Diceros bicornis minor: one gene and its partners. The protein of the gene in region 1 interacts with the protein of each later gene in a pairwise test. Links are inferred from orthologs where the notes say so. Each region holds a gene or a part of one and is shown in the gene's direction. Other genes may lie near its edges.

Region 1 (7,753 bases):
TCAGGAGGGCCTCTGTTAGCTGGGAAACCATTGAGGGTGAGAAGCAGGGGGAAAAATAAATAAATAAAATTAAAAAAAAAAAAATTTGTTCCTAGAGTCAGGATTTCTGGGTCACAGATATATATACATACATATATATATATATACACATATAATTTATTCAGCTTTTTTTTTTATTTTATTTATTTTACTTTTTTCCCCCAAAGCCCCAGTAGATAGTTGTATGTCATAGCTGCACATCCTTCTAGTTGCTGTATATAGGACGTGGCCTCAGCATGGCCGGAGAAGCGGTGCGTCAGTGCGCGCCCGGGATCCGAACCCAGGCCGCCAGTAGCGGAGCGCGGGCACTTAACCACTAAGCCACAGGGCCGGCCCTATTTATTCGGCTTTAGTAGATACTGCCATTCTTGTGGTTGACATATTAAAAGATAATTAAATCTTGGGTGCTGAGTAGAGACTAGACTGTGGGGGGGAGGTAGGGGGTGGCAAGAGTGAAAAGGGAGAGACCAGAGAGGAGTCTATTGTAATAGTCCTAGCGAAGGATGACAGTGGCTTTGACTAGGATACCAAGAGAGGAGATGGAGAAAAGCATACTTATATGGGATTCATTATACAGGTAAAGCTGACAGGACCCGCTGATGGATTGAACGTGGGGAGATAAGGGAAAGAGAGGAATCAAGGTTGATGTGTTTGGTTTGAACAAGTCGGTGGACAGTTGCATTGGTAACTGAGATGGGGCAGAGCAGGAAAATAACAGCTGTGTAGCAGAATCAAGAATTCTGATTTGGCCACGTTATGTTTGAGAGGCCTATTAACTGTGTAAGTAGAGATATCAAATAGACAGAGCTCAGTGAAGATGTCAGGACTGGAGATATCAATTTAAGGCCATCAGCATACAGACGGTATTAAAAGCTATGAACACAGGTGATAACTCTTAGGAAGAAAGTGTAAGTGGAGAAGAATAAAGGACATAAGACTGAGCCCTGGAGCATGCCATCATTAAGAAGTGGAGCAATGGAGGAAGAGCCGGCAAAGGAAACAGAGAAGTCACCACTGAAGTTAGAGGAAAATTGGAAGAACAGGTTGCTGTGTATGTTTTAAGAACAGGGATGGTTAACGTGTTGAGTGCCACTGAGAGGTTCAAGTAAGATGAAGAGAGTTGACCGCTGGTGCTGTCAACATGGAAGTCATTGGTAACCTAACGAGAATTACCTCAGTGAGAACAGGGGGTGGGAAAGCCTGATTGGAGTGGATTGAAGTAAACAGGAGATGAGGAACAGAGTAAGAGACAATATCATTCAAGAAGTCTTGCCATGAAGAAGAGCACAAACATGGAGCGATAGCTAGAGAGGAACCTGGGTTCAAGGGTGGGTTTTCCTCAAGATGGAAAATATCTGTCATGTTTGGAAATGATCCAGTAGACAGGGATAAATGTAATATAGTAAAGAGAATAGATAATCACTGGAGCACAGACTTTTAGAAGGTGAAAGGGGATGGGATCCAATGCACAAAAGGAAGAGTTGAGTTTTGATGGGAACAGAGATGTTTCCTTCAATGAAAGAGGACGAAAGGCAGAAAGTAATTGCAAGCTAGCAGATTTGGTGGCGAGATGAAGTTCTCATTTACTTCTGTTTTCTCAATGAAGAATGAGCCAAGACCATAAACTAGAGGTGAGAGGGGAGGGATACTGGAGGTTTAGGAAGATGAGAACATATGATAGTCATTTTGAATCTGGGAGAGTAAACTTGTCAGGAACATGTAGTAGGCTCCCAGGCAGCGTTGTGCACCCATCTGAGATTTGTGGACATGCATTTAAAGTGAGACCATGGGGCCAGCCTGGTGGCATAGTAGTTAAGTTTGTGCACTCCACTTGGGTGGCCCAGGGTGCACAGGTTTGGATCCCAGGCACGGACCTACGCACTGCTCATCAAGCCGTGCTGTGGCCTCATCCCATATACAAAATAGAGGAATATTGGCACAGATGTTAGCTCAGGGCTAATTTCCTCAGCAAAAACAGGAGGATTGGCAATGGATGCTAGCTCAAGGCTGATCTTCCTCACCAAAAAAATAAACAAATAAATAAATGAGACTAGTCATCAGTGATCACATTTTGATTCATAAGCACCCTGGAATGAATAAAGTTTATTAAATATAGTGGTGCCCTCAGCAATTGTTCACTGAATAAATAAATAAACAAATGAGTGGAGTATTATATAAAATGTTTGGATGGGGAGGAGGAAGAGAAATAAAGAAGGAATGTGTATCTGTCTTCTTACAACTTACTTGAGGGAGACAAAACATGATTATTTAAGAACAAAGCCATATTTCAACAAGCGCAAACACATTAAGTTTTCAAGTTGAAGTTACTAATTCTGAAAGAAATGAAGGATAATGGCATACTTAAAATAGGATGAAGTTAATTTGGGAAAGCATTCCTGAAGTTAAGTTCCAGATCAGAGTTCAAAAGTTACTAGGGACAATGTTAACAGAAAGCAGAGGTAAAAGGGGGAAAACCGTTACACGTTAATGAGCAAGATGGGTAGTATAGGCTATGTTGTATGCAGCCTTGAATAAGTGGAAAAGTGCTTTGAGTTTGAAAGCAGGGATGATGATAATTACGTAGTTTAAGGAGTAACCTCCTCATGCTAAGCACTAACAGGTAGCTTATCCGACAATGGCTACTATTTATCTAGTGCCTTCCTTGTGTCCAGGCACTGTGCTAGTTCTTTTACATATATATGATTTCCAGTAGTCACAACAACGCTACAGAATTACATATTATTTACTAACAATGATTAAAATTCTATTTTACAGATGAGGGAATTGAGACTCAGTATTTCAGTATTTTTCCAAGATATCACAATAAGAAGCTGAGGTGGGATCTGAAGCCAGGTCTCTCTGATTCCAAAGGCCATAGTCAGTCGCACTTCATTTAACTGTGTATTCCCACCATATCCCTTGCTCTTAGCACAGAGGCCTGCCCAGGACAAGTGTTCAGCCACAAGAGTGACCCCAAAATGTAAATCAGATGACCTGCCTTTGCACTTAATCAAAGTTATTTCCTAACAACCCTCCCCACCCCATTCCCACTCCCACCCCCAGCCCTAGCTCACTAACCAGTTTTTCAACTTCTTCAACAGGACATGTTTCCTTCCCCAGGGCATCTGCCTGTGCTGCATCTTCCCAAGGCTCTTCCCCTCACTCTTCCCAAGCTAGCTCTTTTATATCCTTTAGATTTCAGCTTAACTTCATTGAGAGGACTTCCTTGGCCATTCTATCTAAAATAGATTCCTAGTACTCTCTACATCAGTCATTTGTTTCCTAACATTTATCAAATTTTGCAATTATGTTGAAGGTTTACTTTCTGGTGCCTTTCTCCAGTATTAAGACCCATGAGACCAGACAATTTGAGTCTTTTTCATCTTTGATTTCCCAGAGCTGTGCTGTTCAATACAGGAGCCACTAGCCACATGTGGCTCTAGAGTACTGCAAATGTGATGCCTCTGAATTGAGATGTGCAGTAAGTGTAAAATTCATACCAGATTTCAAAGACTTGATATGATATGAGAAAAGAACGCACAAGATCTCATTAATATTTTTTATATTGATTACACGTTGAAATGATAGTATTTGGATAAACTGGGTTATAAACATGATCAAAATAAATTTCACCTGTTTTATTTTTTAATGTGGCTACTAGATGATTTTAACTTACGTAAGTGACTCACATTATATTTCTAGACTCCGGGACGGTCCTGGCCCATTTTATTAAGCGAAATAATCAACGTTAAGAGACAGACCCAATGAATGGGTGAGTGAAGAGATAGTCTCTGCATTCCATTAGGAAAGGGATACAGCATTGTCCTCGAAGTCAGGAGATTGGGGCTCTGGTCCAGGATTTACTGGAAACACTGTGTAGCCTTAGACAAGCACTACCCAACTCTGGGCGTCAATCTGCCCATCAGGCAGTTGATCTCTGAGGTCTGGAAGTGTATGAGAATAAGTGGCGGAAAAAGGTGGGGAAGTCTGGTACAATACAACTTGTCTTCTGTTTGGCTTTATCCTAACACTAGAGTTTCGGCCAACAGGAAGCGGCTGCAGGAATCGCAGACTAGACCCCCTGAACCCAGCGCCGCGACCGCCGTCTTCCTCGGGCCGACGTCACCGGTGCGCGACGGCGTCGTCGGTACTGTCAAGGCGGCCGCGGCTCAAAAGGTTCCCTCGGTGAAGGCGAGCGCTCGAGTCTGTGAGGCTCAGTTCTCAGTAAAGCACCCTCCGCCGCCCTCCCTCTTACCTCACTCCTCCTGGGAACTAGAGCCAGGGAGACATAAGCCGGGCCCACAGCGTCCGGAGCCGAAACTCAGCGCGGCTGCGCACGGCACGTGCGCATCCTCGCCGGAGTCCCGGCGATTGGCTGTGACGTAACTTCCGGCGTGAGCGGCGAAAGCCGGGAGGGCGAGCGAGAGAGCCAGCAGGCAGCGGGCGGGCGGCACGGAGGAACGGAGTCAGCAGTGAGGAAGCCAACGAGGGCGGCCGCGTCCCGAGAGCAGCCGAGATTCCTGCCGTCCCTCTGACCGTGTCCCCGGAGCCCACAGCGCCTCCGGTCTCCAGCGGAACGGACACGGCCCGGCCCGGCCATGGCCTCGTTGCTGAAGGTGGATCAGGAAGTGAAGCTCAAGGTAGCGGCACCGGTCCGGGCCTCCTTACCCCTCGCTTCGATGCCGAGCAGTCTGACCGCCTCCCCACTCCCTGGGAAGTCTTTATCTCCCTGGGGACACCAGCTCTGAGCTTCCGCTCTGCTCAGCCCAGCCCCCCACTCCCGGAGACGCCATCGGTGGAGAGGATAAAATAGGGTGGTCTTCTGTATCCCGTTTGGTGGTGGAGAGCCCCGGGGAGACCTCTGCGAACACGTGGTGGACTCAGTGCTCTAGACTAGTGACAGCTGGAAGTCCCCGAGCCTAGCAACATCGCCGCCGCCAGACGCTGCCCCTGCCCTTGGCGTCAGGCCTGCCTGATATCGTAGGCCAGGTTTGGGTGGGGGTTGGCACGTTTGTGAGGTCACACCTCCCTTAGCTACCTGTCTTTTGTCTGCTCTCAAATTCAGACACAGGGAGAGAGGGAGGGAAGACAGGTGGGTGCTGCCTTCAAAGCCCTGCTTCCCTCTCCTGAGATGGAGAAATGGATCCTCAAAAAAATAAAGTATTTGCAGTCTGGGGGCCTTTCAGCTTCTAATTATAGTTACAAGGTGAGGGAAAGACAGCCGGATTTGGGTTTCCCACTCCAGCCCTTACTTCTGTTGCCAGGTATTGACTTGCTTTTATTGAATTGCTCTCTTTGTTAATTTTAGGTTGATTCTTTCAGGGAGCGGATCACAAGTGAGGTGAGTGAAATAAATAGAAAAATGAGTGTTGGTTAATAGTTGGGACTTTCCAAAAGAAGAGATATCAGAGAGGGACCTTCCCACAATTATTAATTTAACTGTATTTCCCCTCATCTTTAGGCAGAAGACTTGGTGGCAAACTTTTTCCCAAAGAAGTTGTTAGAACTTGATAGTTTTTTGAAGGTGAGAGACCCTTTTCTTTTCCTCAAATTCCCTAATTTTTTTGGCCCTGGTCTTTCTGTCAAATGGGACAAATGATGTGTTGGTTCTGTTTTGTTTTGTACTGTAAAGCATTCTCATTTCTTGCCCTTCAAATGAAATACTTCTTTGTTCATCTTGAAAAGACTAATGTTTGTTTTGGGGGTGGGTGTCTCTCTTTCAGGAACCAATCCTAAACATCCATGACCTAACTCAGATCCACTCAGACATGAATCTCCCAGTTCCTGACCCCATTCTTCTCACCAATAGTCACGATGGACTGGACGGTGTAAGCGTCCTATATTTATCTTTGTGTCCTGAAGCAATAGGTTCTCTGTCCTCTATTTCCTGGTCAGTTTGAGCATGTGCAGAGGGGACAGTGGGATTTGAATCTGAGAACGAGGACTTTTAGAGACATGATGACTACAGTACACCCCCTTTACACCCTGACTTTCATTTCTAGCATGAGGTGAATATGCTAATACTACTCCGTGTTAGAGTGGGTTTCAAATAGGACTAATAGCTGCAGGTTCCCTCAGGTTATCTGGTCTGTCCCCCTGGCTCTAAGTAAGACTTTTCTTACCTGTTTCAATGTCTGGAGTCTTGTTATGGGGTGAGTAGTTCTTGCTATATAACTGCAGTCTCTGTCTTTGCTGTGTATCTTCAGCACCTAATCCTTATCAGTTATATATCCACATTTTCTTATAACACTGATGACACTGTATTGTCTTTTGTCTGCATTACTGTCTCATTGATAGAACTTGTAATTGTGGAAAGCAGAAACTGTCTTAATCATCTTAGTATCCCCAGCACCTAACATTGTTGCTGGTACATAGCAGATGCTCAATACATTTGTTAACTGAATATTGTGTTTCTTTGTGGAACCAGCAGATTTGTACATATTCCCTTAATTATCCGCACCCTGCATTGAATGGTTCATTTTTCCTATTGTTTATAGTATCCACCCCCTCCGCTATATGCTTACTGTGTTATATTTCTTGAAAGCTTGGTCTTCCTACTAGAGTGTAAGTTGCTTTGTGGCAAGGACCTTTTCTTAAAGCCTTGTATGTGCTTAGTAAATTGTGCGTCAATTAATAAGACAACCTGTGGGGTTGAGGAAGGGATTAAACTTGCTAAAAGGTAACTTGTGATGGGGACGTGGATGTTGAGAGCAGGCTAATTCCTGTCTTTCTGTATCCTTAGCCCACTTACAAGAAGCGAAGGTTGGATGAATGTGAAGAGGCCTTCCAAGGTAAGAGCCAACCCCTACTCCCTAGTTTGCAGGATGGATCTGGTGTTCTGCTGGCCAGGAAGCAGGATCTTATTTTATTTCCCAGTGTTAGCATTCCCAAGTTCTCATAACATGGTCATTGTTTAGCACTCTAAACCTAATTTTCCAATAAACAAGAAGGATTTGATTTAGTGTGGACTGCCAAGGGAGAGAGATTGGAGATGGCTACACACTGCAGATCTTTCACAGAAGTTCCAATTCCATGTTATTTTTTCCTCTTCAATAATGATTGGTGTATTAAATCTTTAGAGCATATTTTAATTTCCTTATTCTTCAGACCTTTGGCATACCTTGGACACTCATTTGTTAATCCATACATTCTCTGTTTTTAATTCTGTGGTGGTGTCATGGTTTGTAGATAGGGTTGTGATAGATAAAAGGCAGAAGTCAGGGGCCGGCTTGGTGGCGCAAGCGGTTAAGTGTGCGCACTCTGCTGCAGTGGCCTGGGGTGCGCCGGTTCGGATCCCGGGCGTGCACCGACGCACTGCTTGGCAAGCCATGCTGTGGTGGCATCCCATATAAAGTGGAGGAAGATGGGCACGGATGTTAGCCCAGGGCCAGTCTTTCTCAGCAAAAAAAAAAAAAACAAGACTACTTATAACAAATCTTGGGCCGGCCCCATGGCTTAGCCGTTAAGTGCGTGCACTCCGCTGCTGGCGGCCCGGGTTCGGATCCCGGGCGCGCACCGACGCACCGCTTCTCCGGCCATGCTGAGGCCACGTCCCACGTACAGCAACTAGAAGGATGTGCATCTATGACATACAACTATCTACTGGGGCTTTGGGGGAAAAAAATAAAAATTAAAAAAAAAAAAAAAAAGGCAGAGGTCATAGCATCTCACAGGTCTGGGGAAGAAGAGAGAAGGGTGGGGGATGCTGTGTCCT
Region 2 (7,625 bases), on another chromosome or scaffold:
TTCATTTCTTCCTTACAGAAAACTCTTGTTTTTCTAACTAGTGTACCTCTAAAAGAGCTAGAGACCCTTATACCTTACAGTAACAGTTACAGTGTTATTTATTATTCACTCATTAAGAGTCAGGAACTGTGTTTGGTGCTTCACATGCACTCTCTCTAGTCGGCACAACAATCCTAGAACAGGAATTTTCTTTTATCATAAGAGAGAAACTGTGCAGAAAAGAGCTAACACAGGCCTGAGACTGCTATCCTTTCAAACAGCTCCTTACAAGATTGCCCTTGGCTGGTGTCTAGGAACTTGGATTTCAGGAGGGTTTCCACCATTCCCTAATAAGAGTGGTTCACTGTGCTTAAACTGTTTGTAAAAACAATGTGGTTTATGATGAACACCTGCTTTCCTTCCCGAAATTTGGAATGGTACATAACAGCAGAGGATGCCTACATGACCATCCTCCAATAAAGACTCTGGTCACTGAACCCCTAGTGTGCTTCCCTGGTAGACAACACTTCAACATGTTGTCACAATTCATTGCAGGAGGAATTAAGCGTGTCTTATGTGATCCCACTGGGAGAGGACTCTTGGAAGTCTGCATCTCTTTTCCTCTGGCTTTTGCCCCATGTGCCTTTTCCCTTGCTGATTTTGCTATGTATTCTTTCACTGTAATAAATCACAGCTGTGAATGACTACATATCCTGAGAACTGTGAGCCCTTCTAGCAAATCACTGAAACTGGGGTTGGTCTTGGGGATTTCCAACACGAAACTCAGAAATGTTATGTAATTATAAGATAACCAAAGCTTGCTTATAAACAGCATAGTGAATAAAATCAATTATATTAAAATAAAAAAAAATCCACATCCTGATTCAGTTTGTTTCTAAAACTTTTCTTTATAAAAAGTTTTAATTTAAGGCATTCAAAGCTCAAAATGTCATCATTTAAAAAAAGCATAATCTTTACCTATAATTAATAAAAGCTAACATACATTAAGTGTTTACTATGAACTAAGCACTGTGCTAAGTGCTTCTACATGCATTATCTTATTTAATCCTAACAGGACTATGAGGTAGAGCCTATAATCATCTCCATTTTACAGGTAAGAAAAATAAAGCTCGAAGAAGTTGACAAACTTGTTCTGGTTCCAACTGCATGTGGTAGAGTCAGTAATCAAATTCAGATCAGTCTGACTTCAAAGTCTGTGGTTTTCATTACAATGTTCATTATATTCCCTCCCATGTAAAACAGTAAAAAACACAAAACATATTCCCAAGTGACCTACTTCTAACTCACTTTTTTATCTATTATTCTTCATAACTGGCACCACAGCCCATCCTTTATATTGACGAGTTGGCCTAATACATGCATCCAAAAATCATCCCTTATTAGGTAAAATATAAATCATTAAAAAACAAGTTTTCTGGAAATATTTTAAAGAAAGCCCAGCACAACTCTTGGCACATAGTAGGCATATAACTTTCCAAGAGACTACATAGAGAGTTATCTCATTCTTTCGAATGGCTGCATTCTGCTATGCTTCCTTTGTTAAGAGTGTATCAAAATGTATTTAAACATCCTGTCTACTGGAAGTCATTCACAGTGTACACTATCACAAGCAATGCTGCAATGAATATCAATGTACATGTGTTTAGGCACTCATGCTAGTACTGGTAGAGTGAATTTCCCTTGAAGTTGGATGGCTTGGTCACAGGATATATCTTTAAAATTTTGATTAGATGATACCAAATTTTTCTCTAAAATGGGTGTTCTAATTTATACTTCCACCAACAATGTATGAGGGTGCTCATTTTACTATAAGTTTACTAATACATAATATGTTCTTCTACATTTTTGCTAATCCACTAGATGAAAAATGGTATCATCTTGTTTTAATTTGTATTTCTTTGATTATTAGTAGGTTAGGCACATTTCATGTTCCCTGGCCATTTCTTCTTTCATATATTTTCTATTCATATCTCTTAACAATTTTTCTATCAGCTTGTCTTATTCTTTCACAGAAGCTTTAATCTATTCATACAGGGATATGAACTCTTTATCCTTTATATTGGCTATAAACACTTTCTCCTTGTCTGTCATATAATTTTTTAAGTTTGATTATAGTGGCTTTACCATAGTTTTACAAATTTTTTATAGTCAAGTATAACAATCTTTACCTCTATGGCTTCTGCCTTTGGTGTCATGCTTAGAAAGGTTCTCCCTACCCTAAGTGCTAATATATATTCTCCTAATTTTTTCTAGTGTTTTTATAGTTTTGTTTTACTTACCTTCATTTACTTATATCTTTATTTATATCTTCAATACACATGTAAGTTATTTTTGTGAATGGTGTAAGAAATCTAAATTTTTTCAAGTTAGATGAGGTTACAGATTGGTGAAAAAAGAACAAATGCACATAGCTGTCAGAAATTCCTAAGGTAATTTCTCATGAAGAGATATAATAGAAGCAATCTGAAATGTCACTTGGGCATATTTTTAGAATCTATTTAGTTCATTAATCTATTTGTTTATTTCTGGGCTAGTACAACAGAATTCATTTTAATATATGTTTAGAGAAAATTCATACTAGAAAGTAAGCTTCACAAGGGCAGAATTCATACCATCCTTGGTTGTCTTCTTATCTCTCTGGTTCACTACTACATTCCCAGAGGCTAGACTAGTGCCTGGCCTGTGGTAGGTACTTAATAAATACATGTTGGAAGAATGAATAATTGCACAAACTTTGAGCATTCCAAAACTCAATTTCCTGACCCTCTGCTTTTCTCCTTGTCACAAAATGGAAACCTCAGATTTCTGATTGGAAGCCTTTTTAAGGTAAAATCGACTTGAAACACTGTTCTTGCTCTCTGGCTAACATAATGAAACATCACTGAAATATTGTCATTATCACCACATGTGTGTAGGGCACTATGTTAGATGCAAGCGTCACAAAGATTTTATATAGGACAGATGCCCTGCTCATGTTCTGGTTGGGAAAGAAAAGTATACACACACACATATATACATATATGTAAAATAATTATATAAAAAGCGTTACGTGCCAAATAGATGACACAGACAATAAGAATACAAACCACAGAGTTGGTGGACTGGGCATCCCTGAACGAGTTTTCTTAGCTGTAAAGTAAACAAAATAGCAATTCCTACCTCCTAGAATAATTCAAGATTTAGAAGAGAAGGCAGCCACCACGGATGGTCCTAAAATGTTGCATGAGAGCAGAGTTAAGCCTCAATAATAACCATTTGGAAAGCTTTTACTATATGCCATGAACTGTTTTAAACGCTTTCATGTATTAACTCATTTAACCCTCTCACCAACTCTCAGGTATAAGTACTATTATTTTTCCCCCAGTTTTAATGACGAGCATACTTAACTTTGGTTTGCACAAGTCACACTATACAGTATGAAGCTGAGGTTCAAGTCCAAAAATTCTGGCTCCAGAAGCTGAGCGCTTAACTACCACATGAAACAGAGTACCCCTTAAAAGAGCAGAATTAAGACAAGCAGAGAGGTTGCGGGAGACACATCCATCTACCCGCCTGGAACGATAAACCGACAAATCTGGCTAAGGCAGAAGGTCAGTGAAGGAGTAGAGTCTGATCACATAACTACCCTGAAAGACCGCCACCTGATATGGCAACGATTTGTAAACTTTCTCATGGGCGCTTCTCCTCTAATACAGCACTTCTCTCCTCTTTACCATTGAACTCACGAACTTTTGACAGAGAAAAAAGACAATTAGTTTTCAACTATTAAAGCTATTACCCTGTTGCCAGAGCACGAGCTCGATCCTCTGGGAACCTCGTCTTCCCGGCCTCCACGGATCACCGCCGTTACCGCCGCCGCGGATCACTGTGAAGGAAATAAATAAAAGAAGCAACCCGATGCAATCGACTTGCAACTGATCCTAAACATCTGCAGTTCCTAACTCCGAATCATTTTTTCCTCTCCCTCCCGGTCCCCTGTCCCGGTCCTGACACCACCGGGAACTTCCGCTGGGACAGAAGGTCAGAAAACGATTGCTGAGGTAACGGCGTCGCCTCCAGTCAGGTCCAAGGACCGAGGCTCCGAGGCCGCGGGGTCTTTTACTCGGCATTCTAGACCCAGCTCTGGCGCTACCAGGCCTTGGGCAAGACGCCAGGCCTTGTGCCCAGACTCCGCCCCTCCCCGGGCCTCAGTTTCCACACCAGATCTCCACAGAAAGGGCGTGGAGCACGCCGATTCTCCCGTTAAGAGCCCCTACGTGCCGGGTCAGTTGGCCCAGAAACCTTGGGGTGCCGGCCTGCCGCTATCCCGGGGCCCTCTCCTTCCCCAGCCGCCAACTTCGGACGGTCACCTCATGCTCGCTCGGCGTTCCTCCACCAAAGCACCCCGCTCCCACCACCCACCTCCCTTGCGCGGCTTCCCGGGACGGCGTGCGTCGCAACGCGGGAATGGGCCTGGAGGCGGGACCACGATCCTCGGAGCCAAGGGGCGGGGCGCCACTAGCCAGGCAACCAATCGCACGCGAGAAGCGCCCGGTGGGGCCGCGCGCGTCGGGCGGGGGGCGGAGTCCGTGGTGGCTGGGCGGGCCGCAACAAGTGCAGCTGGTTCAGGCTGAGGTGGCAGATGGTAGCGAGCGGCGCGAGTGGAGGCCAAGTCGGAGCCCGAGCATAATGATGAATGGAACAGGGGGACGCCCGCGCATTGACAGTCGCGAGCGGGTTCTCAAGTTAGGCGAGAGTTTCGAGAAGTATCCGCGCTGCGCCTTCCACACTGTGCGCTGTGAGTGAGGATGACCCCGGGGAAAGAGGGGGAGCTCTGGGTATGGGGGTGTGAAGGCACAGACCTCTCTGAGCTGTGTTCCCACAGACCTCCTTCCTCTGCTGGAGAATGGGGTGCCAGCGCGATCCGCTGCCCTCCGTGAGGTCCTAGAAGGTCAGTGGAAGGAGCCGGAGTCGAGCAGGTGTGGGTAAACCCTGGGCAGAGAGATTCAAGTGAGACCAACAGGCAGAAAAGGAAACTTTGTGGACAGGGTCTGCATGGGTGACTGTGGAGACAGGCGTGACTGGTGGATGATGCAGAGGTGGAAAGGAAAATAATGTGGCAAATGGAAGAGAGCAAAGAACCCAACTATTATGCAGGGGGCAGAGAATGCCTGGGGCTGGTGGGGAAATATTCTCTCCCTTCTTCACTTTTTCTGTCTCTGGCTGATGAGGTTCTTATTTAGTGTGTTCCTGGGGTGAGATTCTGAACCATTCTGATCTGTATCTCTTTTGGACCCCTGATTTCATTCAGTCACTTATCAAATACTGATTATCAAAGTGTTGGAGGGTGTGTCTTTAATTTCTTCATTAAAAAGATACTTAACCTCCCTATGATTTCTTTTGATTTTCTCTTGGTTGTCCTCTGGGACTAGTTTTGATAAATTATTCTTTTTTGTGTTGTTGAGGTGGAAAAGGGAGCTCTTTTGCTTTAATAGTTGGATGGTGTAGATTCCAGGAAGGAAAATGTAGCATATTATGATTTGGCATGTAAAACATTCCTTCTTTGCATAATAGCCCTCATAGAATTATAGAGCGGAAAGGAAACTCTGAGGTCATTGAATCATAACCTCTTATTTTTCTGTGGCAAAATTGTGAAGTAGGTAGTTTTTCACTTCCTTTCCCCAGCCCTGCCATTCCTTTGTGTCTCATCATTCCACCTTTCTCAGTCATTCTGCCCTTAGACTGTCCACAGATCTCTATGGTTTTTATTCGGAAGTGTTCCACGCTTCCATCAAAACACCCAATTAAAACTCACATTCTCCAAAAGTTTACTTAAGTTTTAGATAATCTAATGATAGTAACTCACAGTAAAGGTATGAAGAACCAATAGGTTGAACTTTCCAAGGATATATTTACATTTTATAAAAGGGTTTTATTAAGCAAAATTAATATCCAATTGGTAGAATAAATGAGGGAGGTATTTGCAAACAGAAGATCTTCAACAGTGTCTCTGGTTTATTCTTCTTTATCTAACTCTCATCCAAGGATCCCCACAGTGAGACAGCTAGTGCTGGCTGTGCAGTTTCTCTCCTTCAGTCCCATTTTCCAAAAGTATGATATAGTTCTTATCTGGTTTCTCCATGCCTTTCTCTCAAATAATATCTCCTCTCTCCTTTCCTCTTCTTTCTCAGGTATGCAGTAGTTTTAGTATTAATTTTTCAAGTTACAAACTTTAAGATTATAAAAATTTCTCAGAGGCCGACCCAGTTGCGTAGTGGTTAAGTTCGCGTACCCCACTTCGGCGACCCAGGGTTCGCCAGTTTGGATCCCGGACGTGGACCTACACACTGCTCATCAAGCCATGCTGTGGCAGCGTCCCACATACAAAATAGAGGGAGATTGGCACAGGTGTTAGCTCAGGGGCAATCTTCCCCACCAAAAAAAAAAAAATTTGCTCAAGAATATATTTTCATATAACTCAGGTATATATTCTCTTTTTAAGGGCATGAACCCCAAATTAAGTGAATTAAAAAAAGCCTTTGAAAAACACTTGGCAGGTGCTTCAGAACCTTTCATTTATAAAAGTTCTCAAAATGCTGGAATTGTGTCTTCAGAGTCAGAGAATCAGATGATCCAACTACAAGAATGAAAATAAACAAAAATAAGCAAAACAACAGCAGTAATAACAACCACAATAAACCCAGAGGTTTGAATACACTCTTAGTCCTGTGGAAGACATTAGAAAGGTTTTCAGGCCTTAGTTTTATTCTTATTGTTGAAGCAGGCAGAATATTTCTAAATTTATTTAAATAATACTAGTCATTATCCTTGAGGATAGGTTCATTTCCCATATGATCCTCACTCTTAAGGACTCAGAGTGAGGGATGGAAACGATAGAATAGGAAATCTGACTTTCATACAGAGCAGATGGACCTAATTTATAACAAACACTGAAGTCAATGTAATCTGCAAGGAAGTAAAATTCTATCTTTATGTATAGAGGTAAAGACTGTCCAATATGCTGAGGCTTTGAAAAAACCTGAATGTGAATTCTGGCCTCCACCACCTATATATGTAGTGTAACTTTGGAAACATTCTCTAAGCTCTCAACCTCAGTTTTCTTATATGTAAAATGATAATAATAATATCAACATTTCAAAGTTTTTAAGGATTAAATAACATAGCAGAAACAACCTAGCACAGTATTTGGTGCATGGTAGAGAATAAATAGTAGTTACCATTATTCTTGAAGGGTTATATTCATGTGTATATGAGGAGTGCCAATGAATGTAATTTACTTAGACTTCCAAAAAGCATTTATCAGGGCTTGGCGATAAAACCTGTCAAAAAGATAGCTAGCATGTGGTAGGGAAGACATGGGATGTTCTATAAATGATAAGCTAAATGCTTAGCAACAAATGTTTCACTGGGTAGAAGAGTTTGAGTAACAGGACCCACTAGAATAAATTTTCGATTTGGGCTAGTGCTAGTTTTACAATTTATATGCAGATAAAGGAATAAATGTTGAAATTCTTAAGTTTGTAAATGACACCACTTTTTGCTGTCATGAAATGATGAACTCATGGGCAGTGAGTACAGGAAGGCTGTCTGAGGTGTCAAGTGGAGCCACTCCCCAAAAGGTGGTT
Region 3 (7,106 bases), on another chromosome or scaffold:
AATATTAATGAGAACGATGATAGTAATACATACTGCCATATAATAAGTGCTTATTATGTTACAAATACATGATTATCTCATCACAACCACCCTATGAGGTAGGTACCAGCACCACTGTTGTATAGATGAGGAAACTGATGGTCCAAGAGGTTAAATAACTTATTCAAGATCACACAATAAGTGGCAAAGCCAGGATTTGAATCCAGTCTGACTGACTCCAGAACCACCATGCTCTGTTCTTCTTTGTCTATTCGTTTATTCATTCATTCATTCATGTAGTTATTCATTCAACAATTTATTCACTGATACTCTCCTGTGTATTAGGCACTGTGTGAACAGTTAAGTGTTAATGAACACAGTCCTTGCTTTCAAGAAGCTTATAGTCTAATGTAGGAAGCTGACATTAGTCAAGTAATTACTGATTCTTGTATAATTATAAACTGAGATAGGTGTGCTAAAGGAAAGGCAAGATTGTGCCAGAGACTACAACAAAGGAACCTCACCTGACTAGGGTGTCAAGGAGGCTTCCCTGAAGAAGTGATCCTGAAGCTGAGAGCTGATAAATGAGCAGGAATTAATTAGGCAAAGTAGAGAGAGATGGGGAGAACATTCCAGGCTGAAGGGACAGTAAGTGCAAAGGCCCTCCTGCAAAAGTAACCAAGATCTGGAGGGAGGAAAGAAGCCTGGGGGCTGGAGGGCAGAAAGCCAGGGGTGAGCAGTGTGAGAGGAGACCAAAGATGGAGCAGGGCCAGACTACCACAGACACTCCAGTATGTAAAAAGATTTTGAGTATTTCTTTGTTGGACGAGTTAGGGGAAACAGACGCTCATATATTGCTGGTGAGAATGTAAATAAATATAACCTCTACGGAAGGTAATTCATCAATATCTATAAAAAGTAAAAATATGTAAAATGACATATATATATGGTTACTTATTGCAACACTGTTTTTAATAGCAGATTAAAAATAACACGAATATCGATTGACTGGTTAAATTGATTCTGGTATGTACATTATTAAAAAGAATAAAATGCAGTTGTGAAAAAGACTGATGGCACACTCTATGTACTGATACGGAAATAGCTCCAAGATATATTAAGTGGGGGAAAACATTGCAAATTAAACTCTGCATAATTTGCTGTTTTTATATTTAAAAGAGGGGATGTAAATTTATGTCAGTATTTTCTTGATTGTAAGGAAGAAATACTGTGGAAGTATATGTAACAAACTAAATACAGGGGTTATGTGGGTTGGGGGAGGCTGGATAGATGAAGAATAAGAGTGAGAGGGAAATTTCATTTTCCACCTCTTTACCCTTTTTGGTTTTAAAATCATGTGAACATATTACCTACTCAACAAAAATTAATATATACATGTAAAAATAGTTTTGATCTTTGTCTTAAGGATAATGCAAAGCCATTGAAGAATTTGAAGCAGTAAGGTGAAGTAAGCAAGTAAGCAGATTTGGCTTTAGAAAAAAATTTCCCAGGTTGCAATGTGAAGAATGAATTGGAAGAAGGCCAGAGTGGATGCTGACAGAACTGTTAAGAGATCATTGTCAAGTACAATGAGACACCATTTCACATCCACTGAGATGGCTATATCAACAAAGACAGACAGTAACAAGTGTTGGCACAGATGTGGAGAAACTGGAACTCTTGTACATTGCTGGTGGGAATGTAAAATGGTGTAGCTATTTTGGAAAATAGTCTGGCAGTTCCTTAAAAAGTTATACACAGAGTTACCATATGACCCAGCAGTTCCTCTCATAGGTACATACCCAATAGAATTGAAAACATAGTCACAAAAAAACTTGTACATGAATGTTCATAGCAGCAATATTCATAATAGGCAAAAAGTAAAAACATTTCAAATGTCCATCAACTGATGAATAGATAAACAAAATGTGGTATATCCACACAGTAGCATATTATTCAGCGCTTCATAAAGAGGAATGAAGTACTGACTCATACTACAACATGAATGAACCTTGAAAATATTATGCTAAGTGAAAGAAGCCAGTCACAAAAGGCCACATATTGTACAATTTTTGATTTATACAAAATGTCTAGAATAGGCAAATGTTTAGACAGAATGTTGATTAGTGGTTGCTTAGGGCTTGGGTGGGGTGGGGGAGAGGTAGGGAGAGGAATGAGGATTGACTGCCAATGGGCGTGAGATTTTTTTAGGGGGAACAAAAATGTTCTAAAATTAGATAATGGTGATGGTTGCACTACGCTTTGAATATGCTAAAAACCACTGAATTGTACACTTTATTTATTTATTTTGGTGAAGAAGATTGACCCTGAGCTAACATCTGTGCCCATCTTCCTCTCTTTAGTTTATGGGAGGCTGCCACAGCGTGGCTTGATGAGTGGTGCGTATGTCCACACCGAGATCTGAACCAGGGAACTCCTCACCTCCAAAGCAGAGTGCGCCAACTTAACCACTACGCCACCAGGCTGGCCCCTGAATTGTACACTTTAAATGGCTGAATTGTATGGCATATGAACTACATCTCAATAAAGCTGCTTTAAAAAAAGAAATAGTTCAGGGCCGCCGGGGGCGGGTGTGTGTAGTGGTTGAGTTCACGGGCTGCGCTTCAGTGGCTTCCGGTTTGCAGGTTCGGATCCCAGGGGCAGGCCTATGCACCGCTCATCAAGCCATGCTGTAGTGCTGTCGCATATGCAGAATAGAGGAAGATGGGCACAGATGTTAGCTCAGGGCCAATCTCCCGAAGCAAAAAGAGGAAGATTAGCAACGGACGTTAGCTCATGGCCAATCTCCCACACCAAAAAAAAAAAAAAAAGAAGTTTAAAATATCTAACTTCTAAAAGACATCATGCCCATATGGACACATCAATAATTTCTTTCAAACTCAATAATCTTTCAAGAAAGAAATAATGTGGATATAAATTGCCCGAGATCTTAAAAAAACAGAAAATATTCCAATTCATCTCAAATATTCAGCATAAACCTGATATAAAAATATATCAAAACACACTATGGTTGTGTAAGACATTATCATTGGGGGAAGCTAGGTAAAGGGTACATGGGAATTCTATCATTTTTGCAACTTCTTGTGAGTCTAAAATTATTTCATAATAAAAAGTATTTAAAAAATCTATCAAAGTCTTTAGTTTAAGATGACTAACTCAGTATAAAATTTATCTTCATATTTATTGTATCCCACAAATTTGGGATGTAAGTTTTTCATTATGGCTTAGTCCAAAGTATTTAATTTCCATCGTGGTTTATTCTTTGACCCATAGTTATTTGGAAGACTTTTTGTTGGTTTTTTAAATTTCCAGATGTATGTTTGTATTTATATTTTACATTGTCGTCAGAGAATACGGTATGTATTACACAATTCTTTGAATTTTGAATTATATTAGTTGAGACCAATTTTTATAAATGTTCTAAGAAGAATGAGTATTTTTTAAGTTTTGGGTCCATGGTTCTATATATATTCATTGAACCAAGCTTGTTAATTGTGTTATTTAAAAAAAGAGGCCATTGTAGCAACCCGGACGAGAGATGACAGTGGGTTGGGAGCTGGGAAGATGGAGAGGAGCGGAGGGATTCCAGATTTATTTGCGGACAAAACAGGCACTTCGTGGTGTTGGAGAGGAAGGGGGGAAAGATGAAGGAGAGAGCCATCCAGGACGACTTCCTTGGTTTCTTGGTTTTTGGTTTATGCAATTCGGACAGAGCGCTGAGCTATGCAATTAAGATAGGCAATCCTAGGAGAGATTAGGAAATCTTCTCTGTAGTATTTGCGTCAAGAATGTTTCTTTACTTCCTCCGGGGACTAGGAGGGAGGCTGCAATATTGAGGCTTGGTGCTGCGACTTAGCAGCTCCCCGCCCTTCCCTAAGCGCTCTGTATACATCTGTATTATAATACTGATCACGGTGTATTCACATACCAAGGTTTGCACGCACTGGGCTAGGAGACGAGAGGGCAGGGGCTGAGTTTCTCCACAGCAGCTCAGGAACTTTGCCCACAAACTGGTTCCGCCCTCCCCTGCCCGTCTCTCCGAGCCCCGCCCCCGAGGAATTCCGGCCCACCTGCTCCTCCGCACCAGCCTCTCCCTAAAGTGCTCCGCCCCGCCCCTACTGCAACCGTTGCCTTCTAGCCTAGTGGGGACTAGAGTTATTGATGAGTGTGTTATCCAATCATCACGCCGAATGACCACGTAATTCCCAACTAGGCGGTAGCAGAGGCGGGTGCCGAAGCCTTGGATAGGGGTGACCAGGAAGCAAGAGCAGACACCGAGAAGGACGAGTCGAGCCCAGGAGGTGTAAAGGTGACGGGGCTTCTGGATTCCCCCGTTTCCCCATTTCTGGGTCAGGGGTCCCTTCGCAGCTGGGAGCCAGGATCTCCATTTGCCCTTTTTAACGGGGAAGGGGTGTGTCTACATATGTAGGCGTTTGAGGATCTTTCCTGAGCCACCTTCCTGCTTTCGCTTGGGGGTGGGTCCTTCTCTTAGCGTGGGGTGGGGGTCCTACCCCCTGTCTCCCTCCCCGGGGGCGGTAGAGTTGTTTAAGATCCTCCTTAGCCTGTGGGTGGTTGAAGTCTTCTGGACTCAGTCACGGCAAGGGAGATGAGAGCGGGGGTAGCGAGATTCGCGGACTCGGCCCCTCTCCGGAGGAGTTAGAGACCTCCAGCTGCGGCCAGAGGTGCTGGAAGGTGGAGGGGCCCTGGGAGCTGGCTTCCTGTGGTTAGGGAACTAGCAATAAAGTAGGTATTGAGGGCGAGGGAGCGAGTGAGAAGAAACATTTCTTCTGTGGGTGTCGTGGTAGTTCTCTGGGACCCTGCTGTAGGGGCGGAGGCCTTGGGGTGGGGCTCGGTCTCTAAATCCTCTTCCCACCTCTGGGCCGTCAGCTTTTGGCCTTCATTTCTTTCTCATCAGGCTGCAAGAAACACCTGAACATGTGGAATCCCAATGCCGGTAAGTGTTTGGGGGTCTCTTCTCCCACCCTAACCCCTTTTCAGATGGGCCACACAACAGGAAGTTTGTGTCGGTTTTTCCTCCCCCTCTCCAGCCTCACCCGCAAAAGCAAAGTCCTTCGACCATAGCTGCCCCAGTGCTCTCGTCTTTGCTTAGAGCTCACTGTCTCCCTGTCTCACCAGCCCTGCCAGGGACCTTACCTTTTCTCTCTCCTAGGCAGGTTTGTCTCCCCTACCCTCCGTTCTCCTTCCTCGCCTTTCTATTTCCCTTTCAGGACGCGTTGAGTGAGAAGCGTAATCCTGTTTTTGTTGTTGTTATTGTTTGTTGTCAGAGGCTCTGGGCAGTTCTAACCTTATTTTATTCTTTGCTTCCTCCACTAGGGCCAAATCCACATCCCCCTAACATCAGAGGCCCTGGAGGTCCCCATCCTCCCCCTCCACCACATGTCAATCCTGCCTTTCCTCCAGGCCCCCCTCCCTCCGGACCTCCCCCCGGGAATCCAGCTTTCCCCCCACCTGGGCCCCCTCCTCCTGGGCCACAACCAGGGTATCCAGGATGCCAACCCTCAGGTCCCTACCCCCCTCCATTCCCACCACCTGGCCCTGGCATGCCTCCTTTCAATCCCTTGGCTCCCGGAATGGTGATGGACAAGAAGATGCGGAAGAAAATGAAGAAAGCTCATAAAAAGGCGCACAAACACCACAGGCATGGCAAGGTGAGTGCCCTCTGGAGCCCGGTGGGGAAGGAGTGCCCCCTCAGAGGGACTAGGCAGACAGGGGGTGGCCGAGGGGGATTCGCAGTCTGAGGACACAGGATAGGGATTATGTTGCTCTGGTAGATGGTGCTTCCTCTTTGTAAAGGATTCCCACTGGGAAGAATCTGATAATCTTGAAAAGAAATGTTAGGCTAATTGGGCCCTCTATTTTGGAGGGACGAGGCTGAGCCTTAGAACAAATTTCAGAATCAAAAGCCTTTCTTATCTGCCTTTCTCTCTCCCAGAACTTTTGCCCCCACATCCCCAGATGCATGTTTTAGCAAGTTGGGCACTCCCACTGAGGTGGTCAAAATGTCAATTAATAGGGTCAGTCCTTTGACAAAGCAAAGTCTTATATAATAATTAACAGATAATAATCTGGCTCGAGTTCCATAGAGTTCCTTTCTCTCCAGTGCTCTCAGGGTATTGTTTTCATTATGGGGGTCTTTTTGTCTTACTACCCAGCAGGGAAACTGAGGACAAAAGCAGTCAGTGACTCAGCCTCAGACAAAGCCTGAGTTTCATTCCCAGCCCTAAGGCTCAGTATCTTCATTCTAGAGGAGTGTTAATTAGCAAGGGTAAAAGGAGCTCCCAGGATAACTCTGGAAGGATTGAACCAACCTGGATCTTGAGGAGGCCTTAATTTACATTTTACTGCCTAGTATTTATTTGCTTTATGGCTTTGGGTGCTAGTTCCTGGTTCTGGATCTTTGGTAGAAGTCTGAGGAGAAGGACCAATTGAATGGGGGAGAAATTACCCTGGAGAGACTCAAAAATGTTTTTAATGACAGTTGTGGCTGGGAGTATGCATGTAAAGAACCTTGACTAGGATTCTCCCAGCCTTCTCTCCCACCTTCCTCATTTCTTCCAGTTGGGGCTTAGGAAAAAGTAAGAGATAGATGCAGACGACACAGGTGCTGATTCTACTCACTTTTCTTAGATTCATAGCCACCAGGAACTTTTCATGCAGCTAATCAATAAGCATTTATAAGGTAGTGGCAGTTTCCTAGCACTCTACTATGCTTGTGCATATAATTTATTCCTTGCCTAGGCACTGGCTCAGGTAAAGAACATTGGAAACTTGCTCCAAATGCAGTATGTTAAATTCTGTGCGATGGTTTAATCCATCCCTGTATGCTCACTGCTGAAGGAGATCCTTGCTTTTGCTCTTTAAGGGACGGTCTGGGTCAAGATTCCTGACTTTCTTAGATAGCAAACACTTGGGTGGAGGGGTGGGGCATCAAAGAATGTCCCATGGAGTGATCAAAGGTCACTTGGATCTGATGCTGTCTCCTTTCCCGTTTCCCCTTGCAGCATTCCTCCTCCTCCTCCTCCAGCAGTGACTCTGATTGAACCCAGGGCCTGGACCCTTCCCTCAAGTCTCTCCAGTTCTGCTCT
Region 4 (7,870 bases), on another chromosome or scaffold:
AAAAACATAGTAACAGAGATGAAGAATGCTTTTTTTTTTTTTTTTGGTGAGGAGATCAGCCCTGAGCTAACATCCACCAATCCTCCTCTTTTTTTTTGCTGAGGAAGACGGCCCTGGGCTAACATCCGTGCCCATCTTCCTCCACTTTATATGGGACGCCGCCACAGCATGGCTTACCAAGCAGTGCGTCGGTGCGCGCCCGGGATCCGAACCAGCGAACCCCGGGCCGCCGCAGCGGAGCGCGCGCACTTAACCGCTTGCGCCACCGGGCCGGCCCCCAAGAATGCTTTTGACAGGCTCATCAACAGGAATGCCTACTGTCTGAGATGGGATCAGTGAACTTGACGGTAGGACAACAGAAATTATACAAACTGAACATGCAAGGAGAAAAAAAAGTTAAAAAACAGAAACCAAAACCCAGCATCCAAGAGCTGTGGGACAATAGCAAATGGTATAACATACACATAATTGGAATCCCAGAAGGAGAAAGGAGAACAAGAGCTGAAGAAATATTTGAAGAAATAATGACGAAAACTTTTCCAGATTAATTAAAAAAAATAACCAAATTATAAAAAAAAAAAAATAGGTGACTATTGAACTTCTAAACAAGACATAAAGCCTCAGCATCTCAAAAGGAATAGATAGACAAATGTGACATAATCAAATCCTGTCATACAACAATACCATAAAACAACGCTGAATAAACTGGAAGAAACATTTGCAACAAATATAACAGAATATGCAGAATATATCCTAAAAATTAGAAAAAAAATGACAGAAAAATGGACAACAGTTATGAACAGACAATTCCTACTATAATATAAGTTCCACATGAGTGGGAGTTTTTGTCTGTTTTATTCACTACTTAACCCCAGGGCTCAGAACAGTGACTGGCACATATTAGGCTCTTGATAAATATACGTGGAATAAAGGAACTCACAAGCGGAAGAAAAACCAATGCTTATTTACATATTACAGTCTTCAACATCACTGGTTATAAGGAATAAACAAATTAAAATATGGAGACATTATTTTTTGTCCATAGGTTTGAGAGATATAAAAAAGACTGGTATCAAAACGTTGAGGGCATAGAAAAAGAGGTATCTTTACATAATTGATGAAATTACAAATTGGTATAACTTTCTGGAAGGAAACTTGACTATCTATTAAAATTTAAATGTGTATGCTCTTTCTCCAAAGAATTCTACTTCTTCTATTATTCGCCATACAGAAGTGTATACATATGTTTTGGGGAGCATGTGTATGATGCTAATTACACTAACCCTAATTGTAAGAGCAAAAAATTAGCAATGATTTACACAAGTATCAACAGGGTAATTGTTAAAGTATGGTATATCCATTATATGGTGCACCACAGCAGGTAAATAAAATGTGGTAGACCTACATGTGCTAAGATGGAAAAACTCTGTGAGATATAATACAGAGTGAAGAAAGTTATAGTACAATGTGACACTACTACTAAAAAAAAAAGTCTAATGGATGTTAAAACTGCAAAAAGTTGATAGAAAACTAAATATTTGCACGTTGCCAAAGTGTCCCCCACATATTTGCTAATGGCAAAAGGGAAATATTTGTACAAGGAAGGAATTAGGTAGTTATTACCTTAACCCAGTGATCAAAATTAGCACCACTTACAGTAAGATCACCAGACATTATTGCCTCCTGACAGAATGTAATATGGAAGACACAACATCATTTATTAAAGTATTTTTGCCAAAAATATTTCAACTGATTTAAATCTAACTTCTACTTTTCAGGAAGTACAGAGGATAGAGGAACAAGTTAAACAATGATACAAAGAAACAATCAGACCAAATTGGAATGTGGGACCTCATTATAGAAGATGGCTTGCTCTCCAAAAACTCAAAGTCAGTGGGGGAAAGATCAAGGGGTAGGGAAGGAATGTTTTAGGCTGAGGAGATTTAAGGTACACAATGAAGTGTAAGATGTAGTCCTTGATTAAATACAGCTATAAAAGACACCTGGGACTACTTTGGGAAATCTGAATCTGGACTGGATATTAATGACATCAGGGGATTAGAGTTACTTTGGTTAGATATGATAAGTGTATTGTGGTGATGTAGAAAAAGTTCTTATTTTTTTGAAGATGTATGCAGACATATTTAGGAGTGAAGCATCTTGACATCTGTAATTTAAAATAGTTCAGCAAAGAAACAAGTCTGTAGAACAAATGTGGCAAAATGCTGGCAATCATTAAATCTGGGTATAAGTGTATGGGTGTTGTTATGGTATTTCTTTCCACTTTCCTGAATAAAGCTGTATTTCTATATGTACTATACGTATGTAAACAGGAAAACTATATTCATGGTGATCATAGCTGGTTAGCTTCAGGGAGAGGACTGGAACTGGGCAAATGGGTAAAGAGGGCAGGTCAAACAAATCCAAGAAAATAGAAACATAACAGAAAACATGGATGGTGCACCCACCTTAACATATTCAACTGCTCTTGGAGAAAAATCACAGGCATAGGCAAAGATATTCGGATCTTCTTCCAAAAGTGGGAATAAACAGTTCCCAACCCCACAGCCAGCTTCAAGCATAGTCAATTTTTGATCTTCAAACTGAGGAAAGAGAATCCAAAGTTTCAGTATACTACATTTGCCTAAGGAAGAAACAAACCAAACTAAAAGGTTAAGAACATGAGAGACAAGGTCTCTGCCCTCAGGGAGCGGAGAACAAACAACTGAACTAACAACCAAAAGTTAATACTGATACTTCATCTATTGTCCAACATTCAGCAGTGTGGTATGGAGAAAACAGCATAACAGCTAACAGCACTGGCTCTGGGGCAAAACTGCCTTCACTCAAATCCCAACTCCTCCCCACGCACCACCCCTAACGCTGGACAAATCACTTAAACAGCTTTGCGCCTCAATTTCCTCTCAAGTGGGGATAATACCAATGCCTACTTCAGTGCTATTATAAGGCTTAAATTACAGAACACATGTAAAGTTCTAGAAAAGGGCCATGGTAAAGTGTTCCTCATCATCTTATTGTTATGAATCTGAATCTGTCACTGAAGTCACTCAGTATGAATTACTATTTACAGCTTGCAGATTAGATTTTGAGAAGTTTTGTTTTTTGCTGGGAAAGATTCGCCCTGAACTAACATCTGTTGCCAATCTTCCTCTTTTTTTTTGTTTTCCCCTCCCCAAAGCCCCAGTACATAGTTGTATATTCTAGTTGTAAATCCTTCTAGTTCTATTCTAGTAATCCATCTGTCAGCATGGCTACTGACAGATGGGTGGTGTTAGGTCTGCGCTCCAGAGAACGGAACCTGGGGCGCCAAAGAGTGCATCGAACTTGAACCACTATGCTGTCAGGGCTGGCTCAGATTAGATTTTAAAGAAATGGAAAATGCCCACTAAAGTTCTGTCTCCGATGTATTAACAACCCAGGAACCGCTAACAATACTTGAGACCACACAGTATATTTCTCTCTAAGGTACAAAGCATTTCGACAGGCTTCATAAATTCTCTACTTTACACTCCCCATAGGAAAGCAATAAAGCACCTCTCTAACACACATTTTAAATGAAGAACAGCAAATAAGACGTAATATTGGCTTACCTCTCTACATGATCTGAGCTCCTCAAACTCTCTGGTGGTCCAGTGTCTATCTTTGAAGAAATTAGTACTATTTCTTTTGTAAAAAAGGTCCCAGTTCTTCTGAGCCTCTTTTTCCAGTTTTTGTTGTTTAAAATCAGACACTAAAGCTTGGTCTCTTTTCAGTTTCTCCTCTTCTTCAGAACTGAGGATCCTTGCCTGCAGCCCTTTCTTTTGCGAAGAAGCCATCTCATACGTTGACAGTAATACAGTCAACGCTGCTGAAGATTCTCCATCCCTGAACAACCGGAGGAGTCCAAGTTGATACTGCAGACACAAGCAGGGTTTTCTCGAATTCGGTTCCCCAGGTTGCGTTCACGCCTCAGGCAGCATCACGTCCTTCCAGGAAAAAGAACGAGATTCTGGTTAGTGGTTCTAGACCAGTTCTTTCACCAAACAGTTCAACTCGCCCAACACTCACTACATGCTGACTCTACACCAAACTCTGCCCGCTATACAAGGAGAGGTCACAAAGAGGGCCCAGACACGGTCCCTGCTTTCAGAGGGTTTACATGCAGCGGCCAGAACAATCAGGGACCAAACTCTAATTCAAGCCAGCTTGAGTCAACTATTAGAAGAAATCGGTTTCGTTTAGAAAAAGGACACTCCCAAGAGTTGACTGAGAAATCTTGGGGAGAAAAGACTCATCAATTTTCGTGAAAGGGGTGGCTTAACAACCACAACAGCTGCCTGAACCGGAGGCGGGTGGTCGCCTGCCAAACACAAGTGGGTCATCGTTTCCCAAGGCTGGGAGACTCCTTTTTTCCTGGGAAGATGGAGCGGAGCCCCGGGGGTCGGAGCCCCTGATCGCACCCACAGGGGGCTCGCGCGAACCAGACGGGGCGTCGCTTTCCAGGGACTGAGCCCTCGCAGCGCCGGCACGGCGCGAAGGGGAGAAAGAGACCCAGCGACGCGGGCGTAGAGTCCCAAGAATCCACCGTCTTAGGACACTGGGGATAGACTGGGCCGCCCGGGCCGCCGGGGCCTGCGGAGAGCCGGCCGTCCCGGCTCTCGGCCCCGCGCTGGTCTGCTCCGCCGCGCTCCGGGCTCACCGTCATCAGTTCCCAGCTTCACCCAGAGGGCAGGGCCGGGCGCACTCAGCCTCAGCCCGCCCCGGCCTCGGACGCCGAGCCGGGGGGGCCGCCGCGGGAAACCCCCGACCCGGGACAGCCAGCCTTGAGACCCTCGACCTGAGAGTCTCGGGCTGGATTCTGTTGTCATGGCACCGCCCCCGCCACTTCCGCTACGAACCCAGAAGTCCCTCCCCGGCGCCGGAAGTACCGCCGCCTCGCTTCCTCAGAGTCTTCTCCCACCCCGACGCGGAGGGACCGGCTGGCTTCCGGCCCCGGGTGGGCGCCGGCTCGGCTCCCCTTACGCTCCGGAGCGGTGTCCCGGGAGCACCGTCCTGCCGGACGCCGGCGCCGGAAGCTCGGGCCGCGGCCGCGCCTGGGGAGCGCCGGTGCGGGCGCGAGGCGGGTGCGGGGCCATGAACGGGACCGCGAACCCGCTGCTGGACCGCGAGGAGCACTGCCTGCTGCTCGGGGAGAGCTTCGAGAAGCGGCCGCGGGCCTCCTTCCACACCATCCGCTGTAAGTCTGCGCGCCCCGCCGTTCCCTGCCCCCGCTCCGGCCGCCTCTGCCAGCCTCGCTCCCTCCTCTCTGCCCTCGGCCCGTCGGAGCCCAGGGACCCCTGCCCGCGTCGGCTCCCTGCTCCCGACCCCGGCTCCTCCGGGACCTCGGTTTTCTCCCTTTTTTTCTAGCTTTCTCCTCCCAAACCAAACCCTTCGTCTCTCCCAACACCTCTTCTGCCTCGTGGTCCCAAACGCTTTTTCCGAGGGTCATTGGCCCCTTTCTCTTCATCCCCCCACCCAGGCCTTCCTTGTGCCCAACCTTCCCCCTCTTTATTACCGGAAGCCTGTGACCCCGCATCAGACTCAAGTTCTTCTCTCTCTGATCCTCTCCGCGTTCGGATTACCCACCAGGGTTCTCCACATGTAAAGGACTCCTGTTTGCTCGTGAGCCTCATCCACTTCCTCCTATTCCATTCTCTCCTTGCCATTTGCCTCAGCTTTCCTTCCTCGTGCGTCTTAGTTCTGGCCACCCTGACCCTGCGCTGCATCCCCTCTGCAGCCAGAGTCGGCATCCTCTCTGCGCCCAGCAGTCCTCCTCCGTCTGCGTTCCCTGCCTCTTTTGAGGTCGCCTGTACTACCCTGACTTTTCCTCTGGACCAAGTCTCTTGTGTGAAGAATAAAATTAGAATTTGTGAGCCTAGAGTAAGTTAAAGCTTGCTCTATGTTTGGAGGCAGAAGAGAGCACGCGTAAGGAATGTCAAGCTAGTCATTACGCTGAACCTTCTTTTTCTACATGATTAGAGACTGTTGAGGGAGGGCACTTCCACTCTGTCCTGGGTAAAGACTTGGCTGTTAGGAATTGGCTGACTGAGCATCCGTCTGTGATTCACAAGCTCTTGCTTCCCCGTCTTGGTAGCTGTAATGCTGGGTGAGACTTGTTTTAGTCAAAGGAGCTAATAGATGTGACTCAACACCTTGGAAGAGGGCGTGTTAGATAATGAAGTTCCATCTTTGTATGGTCACTTGCCACGCCATTACTTTGCTTCTTACTGACAGCAGATCAGCTCTTTAAGAGGGAGGATGTTGGGAATGTGATAAGAGCATCATCTCCTGAGCAGTTTACTAAGTTGATGTTTTAGTAGGGTAAAGGGCAATGTGGAATTTAAATGAGACTTCACATATGCACCTGGCCTTCAGTTTGAGGCAGGTGTGTGTTAAAATGGAGTAAGATGGCTATTCATGTTGTACTTTAACTGCAATTCAGCAACATGGGCAGGATTTAACCCTTGGAGATACAGTTCAACTGTCTGCTCCAGACATCTGCAGGACGTAGCATTTGTTAAAGCTATGGAACTTGACTGTGGCAAATCCTAACTTTGACACTTCTGTGCAAAATGAAGTCACTTATATGATGCTGTGGCCTTTCATATTTCATATAGGGTTTTACTATTACAGAATCCTTTTGATATGCTCAGTTTCTTTTGATCCTCACAACAACCCTAATAAAACACCTTATTATGGATAATAAGGCATCAATTTTCATCTATCACTTGGGAGAGGAGAATGTCTTTGCTTAATAAAATGGTATATAAATTTTAGCTTTTTTTTTCCTTCAAAAGAATCCAGTGAGGATGGAGGAAAAGTATGTGGAGGTATAGATGAAATAAGATTGTCCCTGAGTTGGTAATTATTGAAGCTGGGTGATGGTACACAGGGGCTCATTGTACTCTTCTCTCTGCTTTTGCATATGTGAAGTTCTGCACAATGCAATAGTTTGTAATAAATTCTAAATTATTAGTACTTTCCATTTACCTGAGTAATAAAAAAATTTTAACTCTTAAAGTGAGTATGCCCAGGAAGCCCTTAGTATAAGTAACCTGGTAAATAAATGCTTTTATTCCTTTCTCTTCAGATGACTTTAAACCAGCATCTATAGACACTTCCTGTGAAGGAGAGCTTCAGGTTGGCAAAGGAGATGAAGTGACAATTACGCTGCCACATATCCCTGTAAGTTTATTCCTTCGTTGTTGTTGTTTTGTGAGGAAGATCAGCCCTGAGCTAACACCTGATGCCAATCCTCCTCTTTTTTTCTGAGGAAGACTGACCCTGAGCTAACATCCGTGCCCCTCTTCCTCCACTTTATATGGGACGCCGCCACGGCATGGCTTGACAAGCGGTGCCTCGGTGCGCGCCCAGGATCTGAACCGGCGAACCCCGGACCGCCGCAGCGGAGTGCCCGCACTTAACCACTTGCGCCACCGCGCCGGCCCCTGTTGTTGTTGTTTTTAATGTGGCATCACAGTGAATCCTCGTGTTCTGTTATCGCAATTTGAATTTCCACTATTTAAAAATTTCTAGATTTCAAAGTGCCAACATAAGGAAAAAAAGAATTTTGGGGATAGGGTGAGATGGAATTTATGGTTCCCAGGTGCTTGAGTGAAAAATGATTCTTTGCCATTTTCCGCAAGCTCCCTTTTGCCCCATTTGCTACAAAGTAGCCAAGGTTCCTATCAGGACACCTAGCCCCTCCTTTAGATGTGCGTAGCTTTTCCCCCAAGCAGCTCCTAGAGCCCTAGGTGCCATGTTGACGTATAGCAACAACAGTTTAGAAATCTGGGGCAGCCAAGCCAGAGTGAAGGCAGGCAGGCGGGAG

The links.
Region 2: the proteins of PSME3 (region 1) and EAF2 interact in binary tests that used the Homo sapiens proteins (3 or more experiments, as listed by UniProt). The two-hybrid records come from large-scale screens. The link is inferred for Diceros bicornis minor from reciprocal best matches to the Homo sapiens genes PSME3 and EAF2.
Region 3: the proteins of PSME3 (region 1) and PRR13 interact in binary tests that used the Homo sapiens proteins (3 or more experiments, as listed by UniProt). The two-hybrid records come from large-scale screens. The link is inferred for Diceros bicornis minor from reciprocal best matches to the Homo sapiens genes PSME3 and PRR13.
Region 4: the proteins of PSME3 (region 1) and EAF1 interact in binary tests that used the Homo sapiens proteins (3 or more experiments, as listed by UniProt). The two-hybrid records come from large-scale screens. The link is inferred for Diceros bicornis minor from reciprocal best matches to the Homo sapiens genes PSME3 and EAF1.

The regions. Positions count from the first base shown.
Region 1 is NC_080757.1:41,840,003-41,847,755, forward strand, and holds the start of PSME3 (proteasome activator complex subunit 3), read left to right. Parts: upstream 1-4,744; 5' UTR 4,745-5,170; coding exon 5,171-5,245; intron 5,246-5,347; coding exon 5,348-5,380; intron 5,381-5,500; coding exon 5,501-5,563; intron 5,564-5,762; coding exon 5,763-5,867; intron 5,868-6,781; coding exon 6,782-6,830; intron 6,831-7,753. UniProt on the Homo sapiens protein: Subunit of the 11S REG-gamma (also called PA28-gamma) proteasome regulator, a doughnut-shaped homoheptamer which associates with the proteasome. 11S REG-gamma activates the trypsin-like catalytic subunit of the proteasome but inhibits the chymotrypsin-like and postglutamyl-preferring (PGPH) subunits.
Region 2 is NC_080754.1:22,795,669-22,803,293, forward strand, and holds the start of EAF2 (ELL-associated factor 2), read left to right. Parts: upstream 1-4,610; 5' UTR 4,611-4,668; coding exon 4,669-4,777; intron 4,778-7,625. UniProt on the Homo sapiens protein: Acts as a transcriptional transactivator of TCEA1 elongation activity. Acts as a transcriptional transactivator of ELL and ELL2 elongation activities. Potent inducer of apoptosis in prostatic and non-prostatic cell lines.
Region 3 is NC_080756.1:16,847,864-16,854,969, reverse strand, and holds the start of PRR13 (proline-rich protein 13), read left to right. Parts: upstream 1-4,089; 5' UTR 4,090-4,309; intron 4,310-4,315; exon of another isoform or gene 4,316-4,425; intron 4,426-4,467; exon of another isoform or gene 4,468-4,743; intron 4,744-4,915; 5' UTR 4,916-4,935; coding exon 4,936-4,954; intron 4,955-5,334; coding exon 5,335-5,669; intron 5,670-7,022; coding exon 7,023-7,061; 3' UTR 7,062-7,106. UniProt on the Homo sapiens protein: Negatively regulates TSP1 expression at the level of transcription. This down-regulation was shown to reduce taxane-induced apoptosis.
Region 4 is NC_080741.1:21,906,016-21,913,885, forward strand, and holds the start of EAF1 (ELL-associated factor 1), read left to right. Parts: upstream 1-4,861; 5' UTR 4,862-4,866; coding exon 4,867-5,236; intron 5,237-7,129; coding exon 7,130-7,224; intron 7,225-7,870. Other genes in the region: tRNA N(3)-methylcytidine methyltransferase METTL6, read right to left, coding at 2,469-2,603, 3,612-3,836. UniProt on the Homo sapiens protein: Acts as a transcriptional transactivator of ELL and ELL2 elongation activities.